2 linked regions of the Notamacropus eugenii genome follow. The protein of the gene in region 1 purifies or fractionates together with the protein of each later gene. This does not show direct contact. Links are inferred from orthologs where the notes say so. Each region holds a gene or a part of one and is shown in the gene's direction. Other genes may lie near its edges. The genes, in order: SOX9 and FBXW7.

Region 1 (8,423 bases):
GGGAATAATAAGAGGGCAGCTCCGAGGCAAGAGCTGCGGAGGAGAAGGGGTGTGAGGCTCCGCTAACCCGGGCTGATCACTACTGTTCCCTGCCCCACCGCGCCTACGCCAGGCAACTGAATTCAGCTTTATTCAGCTGGGCCAAACCACCTCTGGTTAAAACTTAGAGAAAAAAAATTAAATGAATTCCAAAAATGTTGTCCTGGGATCATCCTTCCTTGCCTTTCCCCTAGATTCCCCCAAGTCTTTTAAGGATGGATTGGGGACAATTAGAAGTAGACATACAGCGCGCGGGCCCCGTAGTTAAGGACACGGATTTTCGGGAAGAAAGCCAACCACACTCTTTGGGGCTTTTCCTCCCGCCTTCCCCTCTGCCTTGTAAACAAGAAAGCGGTCCGTAGATTTTTTCTTTCCCGCTTAGCTCGCCAACCATTCTGGCTCCTTGCCCTAGGAATATCCCGCAGTCTTCAATACAATGCACACCGCGCACGCACGCACGCAGCCTAGCTAGCTTCTCTGCTGTGGACTCGAGCCCCTCACCCCCACCCAGACACACACACCCCCACCCAGACACACACACACACACACACACACACACACACATAAGCACGTGTACATATTAGCATTCGAAAAATCACCAAGGTCGGGAAGATGAAGTCCTGCCTTGAAATACAAGTGAAAACGGGGGTTTCTGTACTGCCCAATCTAGATGACACAAATTTTAGCTACCTGGTCTAGCATCTTTCTAAGTTTTGAAGAGCATTTGAGTATTTCCTAAAGGGCAATTAAAACACACACACACACACACACACACACACAATTTTGTACACAGAGTGTACAAAGCTCTAGTAACTTAAAGCAGCATTAAGAATTTTTGGGACACCCTCTATGTATGGTGCTTACGGAGACTCTTGGACTGTGATGTGAAACACACACGTTATACGTAAAGTTGATGTATTCTTTCATTCGACAAATATTCTTTAAGATAGGGTGCTACAGTTCCCAGTCTCTATTTCTTCTCAGTCAGACTTCCATCCAGGGGACTCACATTTACCTGTGGCTCACTCCAAAGGTTTCTTCCAGGCTCATAGAAAGTAAAAAGGCCCCGCAAGACAAAGGAAAGAATTAATTACATGAGTTGGGGTTTAGCAAGCCAAAGCATTTGCTGGTTGTTCTGCTTGGGGTAAGAGACTGGCACTTTTCTTCGGAAGGGAAGGAAAAGGGCCTTAGCGACTTTTCAGCGGGTCTGGAGACACATAATAAGTGCCTAGGACTAGGTAAGAGGAATAATTTACCCTTTGTTTAGGTGAAGAAATTTGCTAGTAAAACTTCTAGCTTAATTTTTAACAGAAAACCCTAGTATTGGCTCCTCCACCTTACCAGCTTCTTCCAAATAGATCAATCTCGTCCTGTCCTGGCTCTCAGTTCTACCAGAAAGAGAAGGTTAGAAAAATGCTTAGAGTAGGTGAAGGGGGTGGGGAGACACAAATAGGGGAGAAAGGTAAATAGAGGAGCTCCCAGACTTCGGTTTTCTAGGATTCCAGGCCCCACTCTCCTTGGTGTCTAGCTGCCCAGGCCGCAGACTTTACAGCGCCTGTCTACTCTGGAGCTATGCTGGGTCCAGTTAAAATCCTGATGCTCTTAAAAAGAAAAGCAGGCAAAAGAGGGTGGGGGAGAGAACCACCTACAAATATAACAATAATATATTTGTTAAACATTATCCTTTAAAAACTAGTTGGATTCTCTTCAAGACTACCACTCCACAGTTCCTAGCCTGCCTCTCCTCAACCCCACACATATACATACACACTAACACAACCATTAGACTGAGACATTAGTCTACTGAAGGAATTAGGTTGGGAATCCACCTTTATTTCCTTCTTAAATATCTATTTTTGCAGGTTTGTGAATTGTTGCCTAAAATTCATGTGTCCTGAAAGAGTAAACTTTGAGTGGGCACTGGGGGGATGTGGGTCATTGGTTCTTCGGTAGGGATGACCTGGGATGGAATGATGCCATTGGAGAAGATGAGAACTGTGTTTCTCTGTGAAACCTTCTCCTTCAAATGAAAGAACTAGCTGCCAAGTCCGCTTTTTTAAATTTCTCCAAAGAGGAAGGCTTCTCACCAGCAAATTTTATTATGCAAATGGCACTGGCCTTTTCAGTGTCCAATGAAGAGAGATACATTTGGACTTGGTGTGTCCTTAGGTGAGAATGTCCTTCTATTTCACCATATGGTAAGGAATCAAAACCTTGGACATTTCCTCCAATCATCCTGGCCCCCAACATCATTCACTCCTACCCACACACCTATCTATATGTTCACATCTCAACTTCCCCCCAGGTTTGCTCCAGAAATGTTGGAGCTCACTAGGGAGAGAGACAACCAGAGAAAAACAGAAAGATAGACACACAGGGAGAAACATAGGGACACAGACGCAAATACAAAGACAGAGACCCAATGAAACAGAAACAAATCTCCCAAAAAAAAAAGACGGAGACAGAAACAGGGACACATAGAGACAAACCCTGAGACAGACAGAGAAACAGAGATGGAGATAGTCAGACGGAAAGACACAGATACACATACATAGAGAGAACACCAGAGACAGAAGTAGAGAGAGGAGGAGGAGGAGGAAGAGGAGGGGGGAGGAAGAGAAAGAGAGAGAGAAAGAGACAGAGACAGAGAGGGAAAGAGAGTGGTCCACGAACTCCAAAAGATATAAATCACATCACCAAACTCCAGATTAACTCAAGACTTTCCTCACCCTTCAAAGATTTTCTAAAGTTTCTCTTAGAAACGTAGAGTTCGTTCTTTTCTGGGCTTTTGGTGCCCCCTCTGGATGATGCTAGGAATTGCATGCTTTTCTCTTTTTTTAAATATCTGAAAGTTTACAATTAAGTTTAAGAAGGTACGGCAATATGCATGTTTCAAATGCACAAAAAATGCACAAAGTACGGTTACCGCTTTTTAAAATATGAGTATATAATTCATAATTCCCAATGTGGTATTACATGTAATATATAATATGTTGTACTGAAACTACTCAGAGAAATATTTTTAAATACTTTAAGGTCAAAGTCCACCTAACTGTCATTGTGCTAGTAATTAATTACAGGAATTAATATTTTTAAACTCTTCTAAATATTTTGGCAATGATTTTCTTTAAATCTCTGCTCACAGCTTGCAGTTTGTGCATGTATTCTTCCAGTATGTGCAAATTAGAAGAAATTAAACAATTACGTTTACAATTCCCTTTCAATACACAGGAATACACAACACAATTCCATCCCCCACCCTCACCCCAAGAAAGCAATATACCCTATTGGCATCCTACTTGCCAATACAACAGATGCACATTCAAGTTGGTTGTATGGTAGTTTTTTCAACACACAAACATGGTTATGCAGACGTTTAAGATTTTACTTTCCCTAGTGTCAAATAAGTATAATTTCTAAGTCATACAACTGTGACTACACTGTGATGAGTACACATTTCTTTTTTTTTTTTAATTACTTTCTTTTAGAGAAAAGGAGGCAAAAATTTTAACACTCTCCTCGAGAAAAAGTTTTTTTTTTCGTTTTTAAGAAAACCATCGAACACTGCCAGCTATTTTCAAATTAAATTAGGAGAGACATTTTATGTACCGCTCGTAAAATTCAACCTCCCCCCTCCAAAAAAAATCATCTAAAGCGAAGTGAAAATGTCTCAGAGTGGGAAAAGAGGGTGGTTCGTGTAAAAACGACGAGTTATTCCAAGTTATTCAAGTTTTGTGAAATTTTTAAGACGCAAATCCCACAGGGTTTCTAAGGCTGTTCTTGCGCTCAACACAATTTCAAAACCTATACTACTGGACTTTAGCGTCCTTAAGTATTCCTCTTCTAAAAGCTTTCTGTGGCGAGAGATAAAACCTTTTAAAAGTCGGCTAAAAAGGCATCCCACAATCTTAACAGTAGACACTTAAGAGAGAAGAAAGTGAAAATGCCTATCGTTCTTCCCTAGGCAAAGTAAAAGGTACATTGCAACTTAACTAAAGTGAAGTTTTTTTTTCTTTTGTAGTTCTGTTTGGGTTGTTAAATGACAAACCTTTGCCAAGCTGTCCCTCACTGCCTCGCGGATTAGGGGAGTTAGCTATCTAAAGCTTTGAACCATGAGCAAAGTCTTTCTAGTTGCAAACAGACACATTTTATAGAAGATGAGACCTTCCTGTTAGAAGACCTGAGTATGACTGCCATATAATCAGGGTGAGGAGAGTGGGGAGCAAGATAGATAGGGTAGAAGTTCTAAATGTCTTGTCAGAGATCAAGGTTCATTAGCCACCTACCCACCAGAGTGGATAGGGTGGAGGTGGAGGCTGAGCTGGTCGAGAACCCGAATTCCAGCGCTGCCCAGCACTAGCTTAGTGGGCACTACTTGGGTTTGAAGCAGCAGCGCCTAAGCATATTTGACAAGCGACACCGACCACAGGGAAGCATGACACGTTAATCTATTTATGCGGATTGTTGTGGAATAACAGCAGCCGTTAAATCTCCCAGACATTTTGCCGTTTTAAACTTGGGTTTTTTTGTTTTTCCTAAGCATATTCTGAGGCCAGCTCTAAGCGAATAATCTGTGTGAGACACTTGTAGCCACGGAGTCGCTTTCACGGGACAGTAAACTCCATCTACATCCTCGGTCATACTAAAAACTTTTTTTTTAAGTCTGTCTAGACAAACACGCGCGCGCGCACGCACACACACACACACACACACACACACACACAGAGAATAGTTTGCCCTGAGATAGTACCAAACTTCTGACATACCAAGAGCGCAGCAAAATCACACACAGACGTTTCTGGTCCCCCGCCTTCCCTTACACCCCATCCCCACCCCCACTGCCATCCCGCCCCTCCCATCCCAGAAACTGCAAGGGGCGCTCCCCTCCCCAAAACTTTTAGCCAATCAGCTGTGAAAGGCCGGGCTGTGATTGGCCGAAAGTCTCTAAGGTGAGGGAGTATTTATTAAAGAGACTGAGCCAGAGATTTGGAGAGTAGAGAACGGGGCTTGAAAATTGACTAGGTACTTTGGTGAAGCCTCGATTCCAAACCCTCCCACTTCCCCCCTCCCTCCCCAAGAACTTTTCTTTGGAGAAGAGAAAGAGCACCCACTTTTTCTCTCTCTCTTTTTCTCTGTTCCTTGAATCTCCCAACTTCGAGCGGGTGGCGGCGGACTGGACACCCCCCAGCTGCCCCGCAGATCTTTGCATCAGGGCGGCTCGGCGGACTTGCGAGCTTGCCGTGCAGCCCACTGCTCCTTCTCCGACCAGCTGAGGCGCGAGGACCCTACGCCTCCCGCCCGGCAGTGCCTTGGGTCAGAGCCCCGGCTCTCCTTTTCTCGTAACCCGCCCCCTCCCTCGGGCTGTCGCATGAATCTCCTCGACCCCTTCATGAAGATGACCGACGAGCAGGAGAAGGGCCTGTCTGGAGCCCCCAGCCCCACTATGTCGGAGGACTCGGCGGGCTCGCCCTGCCCCTCGGGCTCGGGTTCGGACACTGAGAACACCCGGCCCCAGGAGAACACTTTTCCCAAGGGCGAGTCCGATCTGAAAAAGGAGAGCGAGGAGGACAAGTTCCCCGTGTGCATCCGGGAGGCAGTCAGCCAAGTGCTCAAGGGCTACGACTGGACCCTGGTGCCTATGCCCGTGCGAGTCAATGGCTCTAGCAAGAACAAGCCGCATGTCAAGCGGCCCATGAATGCCTTCATGGTGTGGGCGCAAGCGGCTCGCAGGAAGCTTGCAGACCAGTACCCGCACCTGCACAACGCCGAGCTCAGCAAGACTCTGGGCAAGCTCTGGAGGTAGGTTCTTAGAGGAGATGCCGATCCACTCTCCCCCGGCCGAGCCCACCGCGGGGGACTGAAAGAAATTGGAGTTGGGGGCGGGGGGAAGAACTGGTGGCGCGGGACAGGGCAGCTCTGAGTTTGACCAAATTATTTGGATGCCATGTTTTGCAAACTTAAGCTTCCCACACTCTCACCCGGAGGGGCTGGAGTGCTATCTCACTGGAGGCAAGGAGAGGGGTGCTTGGTTAATTCGATATTGCGAATGAAAGCGAGGGGGAAGGAAGTGAAAATAGGGGCGTATAAAGTGTGTAATAGGAGGGATGGAGGAAAATTTTTTGAAAGTAGATTAATTAAAGCTTAAACTCTGCAAACTTGAGGGGCGGGGGAGGGGGTCGGTAGATGGAGGGGTGTGTGTGTGTGTGTGTGTGTGTGTGTGTGTGTGTGTGTGTGTGTGTGTGTGTGTGTGTTTCTGTGCCACTTAAGTGAGATCTCGGGAGAAAGAGAGAGGGCAAAAAAGGGGGGGCAGAAAGGGAGCTAGGGCGTAGGAAGGAATTTTTTGATTTGGGTGATGGCTTCTTTGTAATTCATTCTGGTAAACTGGCTGGTGCTTTACAGTGGTGGTGAGGAGAGGCTGGGAAAGTGCACAAGAGCCTATGAAAAGAAGAGAGGAGGCTGGATTTGGGGAGGGTGAAAGATAGGGGCAAAGGCAAAGGAGGCCACAGTTTAAAACATTTTTACCAGGAGGTAAAGCAATTTATCAGGAGGGGAAAAAAAACTTTTTTTTAAGGTGAGAGAGAGATGAGAGACAGAGACAGAGAAACAGAGACAGAGAGACAGACAGACAGACAGAGAGACAGACAGACAGAGAGAGAGAGAGAGAGAGAGAGAGAGAGAGAGAGAGAATTAACCCTGATAGCAAATTCCCCAAAGAGAAGCAGCAGACCCCGTGCCCATCTCTTGACTGTTTAGAAGAGAGAGAAAGAAGAAAAGGAGAATAATTACCTCATCTGACCTACACAATACAGTTTTATATAATCTTTTTGCTTATTATTTTAAAAAATAAAGCTAAAATTCCTCTATTAGACCAGTCAACTTGAATAGGATGAAGACTGCAATTCCCTCCAGATAGTCTTTTAAGAGACGTTCCATAGGAAAGTAACTGTATTGTACAGTATCAGGGCCCCACCCCCTCCCCAAATTGACAACTGTGCTGGTAGTCTTACCCTCTCTCCTCTCTTCTCCCCCTCTTTGCTCAGGCTGTTAAATGAGAGTGAGAAACGGCCTTTTGTGGAAGAGGCAGAACGACTGAGGGTTCAACACAAGAAGGACCACCCAGATTACAAGTACCAACCTCGGAGGAGGAAGTCAGTCAAGAACGGGCAGGCGGAACAGGAGGAAGGTACTGAGCAGACCCACATCTCGCCCAATGCCATCTTCAAGGCGCTGCAGGCAGACTCTCCGCATTCTTCCTCTGGCATGAGTGAAGTGCACTCCCCTGGGGAGCATTCTGGTATGTCGGATCCCATCCCCACCACTAACCATTCCCCAAGCCATTCACTCATACATTCAGCAGAGTGCCCCCCACCTCCCTCTTCACCTCCATCCCCATGGAGATTTCTACTCCTATGCCATCTCTGGCTAACCACTGTCTTCTGCATACAAATGTGCAAATTCAGGGCATTTCTGCAACTGGCCATATTGAAATAGCCACATTTTTTTCCTAAATTGCAATATCGAAGATTTGCAAAGGCTCTCAAAAACTCCATAAAGAGGAGTCCAATCTATTATCCACCCACTCTCCAAACACACTACAGCTGACCTAAAATATGCTCAGTTTAGTGTCTCAGAACTACTTGACTTCAGATCCACCGAAGATAAAAGTAGGTGGCTAGGTGTGTACCCTCTCTGGTTAATCATTCAGTGGCTTATCTCCATTCCAGGTCACTACTTGCTCAGGTCAGGGTCTTTATTACACCTTAGCAGTTAAACAGGGACCATAAAAGTGTTTCCCAGACAGGTCTATGCAGTTATCCAGCCCAAGTCCTTATCAAACATAATATTGACTTTTCTGTGTTTCTTCTTTTCTACAGGACAGTCTCAGGGCCCACCTACCCCACCCACCACCCCCAAAACTGATGTGCAGGCAGGCAAGACTGACCTGAAGAGAGAGGGACGCCCCTTGCAGGAAGGGGGAAGACAGCCCCCTATCGATTTCCGAGATGTGGACATAGGGGAACTGAGTAGTGATGTCATCTCTAACATCGAGACCTTTGACGTTAATGAATTTGACCAATATCTCCCACCCAATGGCCACCCAGGAGTCCCAGTTACTCATGGCCAGCCTGGTCAGGTTACTTATACAGGAAGCTATGGCATCAGCAGCACTTCTGCCCCCCCATCTTCGTGGATGTCAAAACAGCAGCAGCCTCAGCAGCCCCCACCTCCTCAACAGCCTCCTCCACCACCTCAGCCTCCTCAGGCCCAACCGCAGCCGACACCGCAGCAGCAGCAGCAGCAGTCAGCCCAGCAGCCACAGGCACCATCTCAGACCCATACCCTCACTCCTCTGAGCAGTGAACAGGGCCAGTCCCAGAGAACAC
Region 2 (8,170 bases), on another chromosome or scaffold:
AGAGCCATATTATATTTATTTTTGTCTTAAGCTTGTCACTTTATCTTCCTGTTTATACTGCTTCTACCCTAATTCATATTCCCATCATTCCACTCTTTGGATTATTGCATTTTTTTCCTAATTGGTATCTTGTTTCACTCTCCCATTTACATTGTACACTGCTGCAAGATTAATTTTCCTAAAATATTTATATCACTCCTTAGCTCAAAAGCTTCTTTGACTCCTCTTTGCCAAATAAAGTCTAAAATCCTTAACTTTTCATTCCTGATCTTCTACAGTTTGACCTCTCTTCTACTACTTCCATATATCAACCCACAACTCCAGCTAGTCTAGTATACTCCCTGTTTCTTGCACATGCTATATGTATTCCTGTAAATATAGTGCCATCCCTTCATTATCCTATTGTCAACTTAGATCTTGCCTTTTTCCTCAAAGCCTAGCTCAAATACCATCTGCATTCACAAATTCATATAATAATCTCTCTCCTGAAATTATAAAACTCTCTGTATCACTTATTTGGGACTTAGTTCTCTACTATTTCTTGACACCTTTAATATTTTTGTCCTGTATCATTACTGAGAAGAGAATGTGATCTAGTGAAGAAAGCATTATACTTTAAGACAAGAAGACCTGGATTTGACTTGTGCTTTTGCCACTTACCAGCTGTGTGATTATTTTCAGGTAGCAACTTCACAGAACCTGTTTCATCAACTATAAAATATAAGGGATTATAGCATCCCTACCCACCTCATAGTGCCCTTGTGAAAATGAAATAAGAGAGTAGCTAAGAAAGCACAATTAAAGAATTAATTAACTACTTAACTTTCAACGTGTTTTTGTCTTCCCCCTTCTGACCTCCATTCTAAATTTTCTTGAGCATAGGGGTTATGTATAGGGTGTGACTATAAAGTAATGAAAAGTATTCTATAAGTCATGCATCAAAATCAGTTATTACCTTATATGCTCACCATAGTCTACCTCTTTATAAGCCCCTTGGACCAGTAAGGTATCTTATGAATAAAAGATAATTAATAAGTATTTTCAAATGAATAATTAAAATTTGGCCATGTGTAGAGAGCTTGTTTAGGTGGACTGCATCCCACAGATTTAATCTGAGAATTTGTAGCAAAAAAAATTAAAACTTGGCATGTTAATGTAAAATGTACCAAGGAAGTAGGGAACCTGAGGGGGAAAGGAGGAAGATAAAGGATCTTTGCAACTTCTAATATAAAGTTCATATTTCTTTTGAGACTTACTTAATGTTTAAATGTATCAGCATTTATAAGAACATAAAGAATTCTATTTTTCTTATGGGGCATAATTTTGTATTTCTTTTGTGTTTTCCAAAAGAACTTTTAGTGTTTTATTGAATTTTTCTTTATTTCTCAGTTAATTTTTTTTTCCAGAATTTTTGTAGAGCCAGAGTGATTTTTCACTTTGATTTTTGGAAGTCAGAATTGAATTTTTCAGAACAGTTATTTGCTGCTTGATGGTGCTTTTATTTATCTGTACGTATATACACATACACACACACGCACACACACTTAACATAGAAGAGAAAAACTACTGAAAATATATTGAGTATTTAAAATGAATGAGAGAATTGTTAAATTTAAGGGCATAATAACATATACAGTTTAATTTATGATAAAAGGATCTTACCTTTAGATTAAAAAAAAAGATGACTAGTCTTTCTTTAAACGGTATACATCAGATAAAACAGCGATGAGGATTTCTATCTTGTTCAGTTTGACTGAATATGTCATCTTTTGGCAACACAGCATAACTTTTGTAAAGTTGATTACAGCTTAAATATCTGTTAGGAAAGTACAAACGTGGGAGGATTTTCCTCCTCTTTAGTGGAAATGAAATTATAAATTGTATTTTAAAACATAAGGGAAACATAAGTCTGGTCTGATCTAATAGATCAGTTTAGGCTTGATTATTATTTGCTTTGTTGCAGATGAGCCATTATCAGCCTGTTATTTACGTATTTCTCAACACTTCTCCCCAGTTATTGAAGTATTTTCGTTTTTCTCTAAAGAAGGTAAAATCAAACTAGTATTATTCTCTTTAAATGTCCTATTTTTGTGTTTTCCCCCAAGGCTTAAAAAATAATGGCATAAGTTTAAACATCCAGTAATTTTTATATTTTATTGGCGAATAATTATATAGTTTAATTGTATGGTAATTGAAGCATTGGCATTCATTTACTTTTGTTTCACAGATTTAACTGAAATTTTAGCAGTAGCTTTACTATTTTTTTAAATAATCTTTCACTGATTTTTGTGATAGTCTTTTTCATTTGTATATATGATCCTGTTGGTTTGCCTCTTGCCCCATCTATATGCATCTTGAGAATCAATAGTACATTAAATTAGCTGACATAAAGGGAAAAATCATAAATAATGAATAATAGCCTTCACTGTTCCCATTTCATCCCTATTATAGCATACTCTAGGGTTTGAAAATCTGGATAGTCCACAAGTACTTAATGCTTCTGATTTTCTAATTATGTTGTTGCTTTATGTTTTCATTCTGAAAGTGTTTAAATTGAGTAGCTAAAAATGTTCATAGTTTTGTTAATATTAGTATGCATGAGAAGCTTTATGCAGACATACCTGCAATATACCAGAAACAATTATCTTCTAACCAGTCCTATTAGTAAAATAGGATTTACTTACTGATAAATCTAAAAACTAATTATTATAGCTATTGTACTTCTGGAAAGAGTTTTTGCAACATATATTTTACCTAGTTTTACTAGTAATGTCTTTGCACATTAACAGTATAATAATTTTGGATTCCCTCTCCAAGTCATCTTCCTACATGTTTGTTAAAAGCATATCATCAATGCGACCTTTTCTGATGTCTGACAGGCATCTGAAAATGTGACAGGACAATCTGTAACAGGGTTTTAGAAGTTCCCACCTCCGCCCCAATGTTATGAAAAATTTCAGCAGATAGTACTTTAATTTTGCCACATAATATGCTCTTTCGATGAATAGCCATGTAGAAGCAGCACAGAAAAAGCAGAGTCCTTGGCAATACCAGCTCAATTGCATCTGCAGATCAGGATTTAAAATTCTATGCAGCAGACAGTACCTCCAGCAGGCGAGTAAAAGGTTACTGCATTATTTTGTTTGTTTGTATCCCTTGTCTTTATGTAGAAAAAAAATCTTAAAAAAATTAATTTGGAGTTCATGCCTCTATTTAGGTATTGCTAGAAATTGATTTAACAGAAACATGAATTTGAAAAGGGCAACACAAGGTGAAGGGAGAAGCAGTACTAGCTCGTTTTAGTGTTGAGCCAAGGAGGGGAGAGATCAACAAATAAGGAACTTTTCTTTCAGTGCAGTAGAACATGAGACTCTTTTTCTTTATATCTCTTAAATTAAGCAGCTCTACTTATAATTTAAAACTATATCTAAAGAGAAATTTGCTGATAAAATATGCAGTCGATAGCCAGGAGATGTTCCAATAAGTGAAACTTACTTGAAATAAAATTACTTTATAAATGTGCAGAGTAGTTTGTTACCCTTGGATGCTGGAAACTGTAATGTGTCCTGAGTAGATGGCGGAAAATTTTTTTTTAATTTTTCATTACTGTCGAAGTAAGAATACGTTAAAAGTTTTTTTCTTCTTGGTTGTAGAAGGGTATATGTAATGTTCCTATTCTGTTAAATTATCTAGAACTAATTTTTTCACTTCATTTTGACTATTTAGATAAAGTTATGGCAGAAAATTTAGTTTTACCAAGAGTGATATTTAGTGCCTAGAACTCTTGTTTCTGTTTGATAGTAATTACTATCTGCCCAGCTATAGCTATGCGTGTTTTTTTCCTTTAAATAGTTTTCTCACTTTTGCTTCCTTTTGCAGTTCATTTCACATATTATTTGCATTGATATTTTATAGATTTCTTTCACAGTTCTTCTGTAGTTTAAAATATATGAATATTCAAAATAATTGTTTGCCAATTCTTCCTCCCCCATGCGTAGTTTTATATTGGCCACATTTCTTAGATGTATATGATTTTCTTTTTATTCCTATGTTTTAAGTTGTGATAGGGTTAAAAAGATGGAGTAAATTAATGTTGAGCCTAGTAGTAAAATTAGTTTATCACTCTGAAAACAGTCAAGTATCTGGCAGGTCTCTGGAAGTATAGAGCCATAAAAGGTCAGCAGCTCTGATTGGTAAGTTTAAAGAATCCATCCAATAATTCACTGCCTGTTATTTTTGTAAGCAATGCAGCAAGCAGTTCTTTTCCAGGTATTGAGCTGTTCTCGAACAGTGTGTACATGGCAAGGGAGGGGTGAGGCTCGTTCCTGTTGGTCGTGAAATTGTGTGCATTTACAGAGGGAACAGGTTCGATAGGCTGAGCTGAAGGAGTCATCAAACACATTTAAAGTGATGGAGGACAGAAGCAGTGGTTAGTGAAATTTTAGGACATCTTATCATAAGTTTACTCTTTTATTAAGTACTTAAATTCCACTATAAAACATTTAGGAATTTTTAAGCAACTTACCTTTAAAAGAGGACTGTGGGAGACTGCTTTTCTTGAGTTTTCTTGGTGATGAGATTGTAGCTGGTATCTGGAAGATCACTGTTGTTTTTTCTGTTTAGCAGTGTTTATTTCAGCTAGGAAGCTGCAGAATGAGGCAGTCAGCCAATTTTGAGTATATATGGGGCAGTACCAGTTCTGATTTCTTAAGGAGAAAACTCATCTGATGAGCAAGTCAATGTGTGGCTGTGGCTGCAGCATTATTTCTTCTTTCATGAAGAGGCTGGGCCGTTCGACCTGCTGCTCCGATCTGCTGTCTTGCAGCCATACATCAGACCAGTTACAGAGACTGTCCATCGAATGCCCCAGTCAACCAAAGGTAACTGTAGATTTATTTTAAATCAAAATATATAGTTAAATCAGATACATTATCATTTGGAACTAATGATAAAAGGTAAATTAAGGATGTTCTTAGCAGTTTTCTTGACCTTGCAGTAGCTATCCAATATCATTTTGTCATCATCGGGTTGTGTAGCAATGGGAACGCGCTGCAGTAATTGATTTTGTAATAGGATCAGGTGATTTACTGGCTGCACTGACAACCACTTGCTTGCTCTGAACTGTGCAACACACTAATGGATGTTGTGATTTCAGCCTAGAGTTGATTTTAAACTGCTAGACATTTAAAGCCATAGCACTTCTTTTGAATCAGGATAGGATTTTTGTTTGGAATAAATGTAGTATTAAAATAGATTTACAGGCTTTTTTCTGTGAAATGTTATAAATTATGTATTTTTTCCCCATTTTTTTGTTCATAAAATGTTGGTAGATATTAGATGTTGTTACCTGTCTGATATGATTGAATATAGTTTTTCATTCTTTTATTTTACTGTTACTTAATAAATATTTGTATGAATACACTGTATATTCTGAAAATTGAAAACGCATCTGTTCTCCTGGTTTGATATAGTACAACTCTTCCTAATGTCCTGTAAAGCTTTCCTGAGTGAAAGATACTGCTTGGCTAATACTTAAAACTCATCACAAAACCAAATATAGGTCAAGTTACACATGATAGAGTTCTGTTATTGTTATCATGATTGTCTGATTTAGCATCATAACTTTCTGCTAGGTGTCTTGACAGTATCCTTTCATCCTAATGGCTCAATGTTTTCATAGGCAGAACAACTTTTCCAATGTAGTAACGTGTTAAACTTTTCTTAAAATGTCTCTGTGGAATGTGTATCTCTTGCAGAATCTTAGGACAAAACAAACAAAAGAAATGTGGTTCAGAAGTATGTTATAAAAATGTTATACTTTTGGCAATGAAAAAATTACTTTAGTTTTAAGTATTGCCAGTATAACTCTTTGAAAACTGTCATAAGGTTCTTAACCAGAACTCATTAGATTTATATTATTTGTTTGCAGTTTTTGCCAGATGCCTCTTTTATCACTGATAATTATAAATAACACAGTATAGATGCTGCTCATGATAATTAAGAAAAGTGCAGTTAAGTTAGTTTTAAAATTTTTTATTTTGAAAATGATTACAGGAAATGTAGTGACAGTTATCACATCAGCATGCTGGCTGATGATGTAAGTGGAGGATTTAGATAGTATGAGAACCTTGTTTGTGATCTAGGAGGAATAGGGGAGAAAGAGATATAGACAATATGTGGGAAAATATAGATAATATGTTAAAGATATAGAAAATACAGAAAGAGGCATAGAAAAAGCTTGCGTAGGGCCTGCTCTGTACCTGAAACGTAGGGAGAGAGTCTTGTTGTTCCTCAGTTTTGTACCACGTGGCTGCTGCTTTCAGGAACCAGAATTCAGACTAGTTTTACTAGCACCATAGTTCAGTTGCATTGTGGTTTAAGTAGCCTTTTGTTTTCTGGTCTAGGAATCTTAGCTAGCATTTATAAATTACATTTGGGGTTCTGAACAGCCTTCTTATCCATTAATTTTTGATCTGTGCCCCATTAATAAATAAGGGACTACTTCTACCCATTCTGTGGGCTAATTGTGTAAAACTAAAATCTTTATTAAGTGAAACACTTGGCAATATTTTCCACAGGTGATTAAATTGTGAAGACATATTTTGGTTCATTCATATATACACATTGCATATAGCACTGAGGGAGATACAATGATATATGATAAATTCCTTGCGCTTAAGGAATTTTAATTCTAGTAGTGGAAATAAAATACCTATATTTTAATTCTTAGATGGTCTTCAACCCCTTCATTGATAAAAATCACAATCCATCCATGACTTCTCATCCCTTGCAATTCTGTGAATCTCTGCCAGGGGTCTTTCTCTAGCTCACTTGAATATTGTTTGAGTACCAGTATTTTTTGCTTTCAGTATATGTGTACTTATTTTGGTAGCCATATATTTATTTGAGTGTTAGAAATATACTCACTTTAAACAAAGATCAATACTTATTGTGAAATTTGGAAAACTTTTATTAATTTTTATGTTTATTCCCTCCTGAATGAACAGGTAGTTCCTAATGGACTGCTACATTTGTTCATAATGCAAGAATAATGCAAGCCTTTTTATGCTGTTCCCAGTTCGAATTTCCCACCTTGCTCTCCATTGATGAAGATGAAGATGAGATGAAGCCTCCTAAATATCCTATTTCATATTTTTCTCCCTGATAGGTTCCCTTTCAAACAGCTCATTAAGCATACACACAAGCTTCTGAACTTTTACCTGATCAGAAGCCAGGTTCTGCAAGGTCACAACTCTGATTAGAATTAGTCATCTCTGACTTACATTCTGCTGTTACTCAAAGCTGGGAGGAGTCTTCATCCTATGGAAACAGAATTCCTCCTTTTGTTTCCCATATGAATAATATCAGTTTTTCATTGGTAATATATTGCAGGTTTCTCATGCGTACATGTAAACTCTTTATTGATTTTAATTCTTCACTAATTAGTATCCCTTGCTATATAACTGTAACATTACCAGAAAAATTTTGCCGTTAAATGATGGGACTTTGTTTCAAGAAAGATCTTTAAAAACACTATATCATTTCCCAAGTGAAGTCTAGGCTGTATAGACTATATAGGTATTTATTATACTAGGACTTCTTAAGCTTTTTTCACTAATGACCCCTTCAGCACTTCTTAAACTATGGGTTGTGACCCCATATGGTGACCCACATTAAGAAGCACTGGTTTATGCAATAGTCTGCATAAGCAATTATAATTCATAGTTGAATGAAAGTGGTATAAAATGCTCTGGTGGTTCTGGGGTGGGGGGTGGTAGGAAGGCAATCTCTAAATATGAAATAGCTAAAGAAAGCTTCATAGAGGAGAAAGCATTTGAAGTTGGACCTTAAATAATGGGTGTGAATTGAGTTGGGTGAGCTAGGGACTAGGACATTCCAAGGAAAGTTACGTTGAACGAGGGTGTAGGGATCTGCATTCCAAATAAAATTAAGAAAGGCACAGAGGTGGAAATGTACTATGTTTAGGAAAAGTAATTCATTTTGACTGTAACGTGAGGTCTATAAAAATATGAAGCTGTATGTAAAGAACAACTACTAGACAACATAATGATGGTGGATGGGATTTATGTTGCACCCCTAAAAGGACCCCAAAACCCCTGAACCAAGTCTCTAGCACCCAGGTTCTTTCCAGTATAATCCTTTTATCTGC

Evidence for each region.
Region 2: the proteins of SOX9 (region 1) and FBXW7 purify together in Homo sapiens (affinity purification with western blotting; 4 studies listed by BioGRID and IntAct, with this or other methods). This does not show direct contact. The link is inferred for Notamacropus eugenii from reciprocal best matches to the Homo sapiens genes SOX9 and FBXW7.

Annotation. Positions count from the first base shown.
Region 1 is NC_092873.1:336,856,002-336,864,424, forward strand, and holds the start of SOX9 (transcription factor SOX-9), read left to right. Parts: upstream 1-5,026; 5' UTR 5,027-5,407; coding exon 5,408-5,838; intron 5,839-7,079; coding exon 7,080-7,333; intron 7,334-7,913; coding exon 7,914-8,423. UniProt on the Homo sapiens protein: Transcription factor that plays a key role in chondrocytes differentiation and skeletal development.
Region 2 is NC_092877.1:150,480,248-150,488,417, reverse strand, and holds the start of FBXW7 (F-box/WD repeat-containing protein 7), read left to right. Parts: upstream 1-4,626; 5' UTR 4,627-4,727; coding exon 4,728-4,880; intron 4,881-8,170. UniProt on the Homo sapiens protein: Substrate recognition component of a SCF (SKP1-CUL1-F-box protein) E3 ubiquitin-protein ligase complex which mediates the ubiquitination and subsequent proteasomal degradation of target proteins.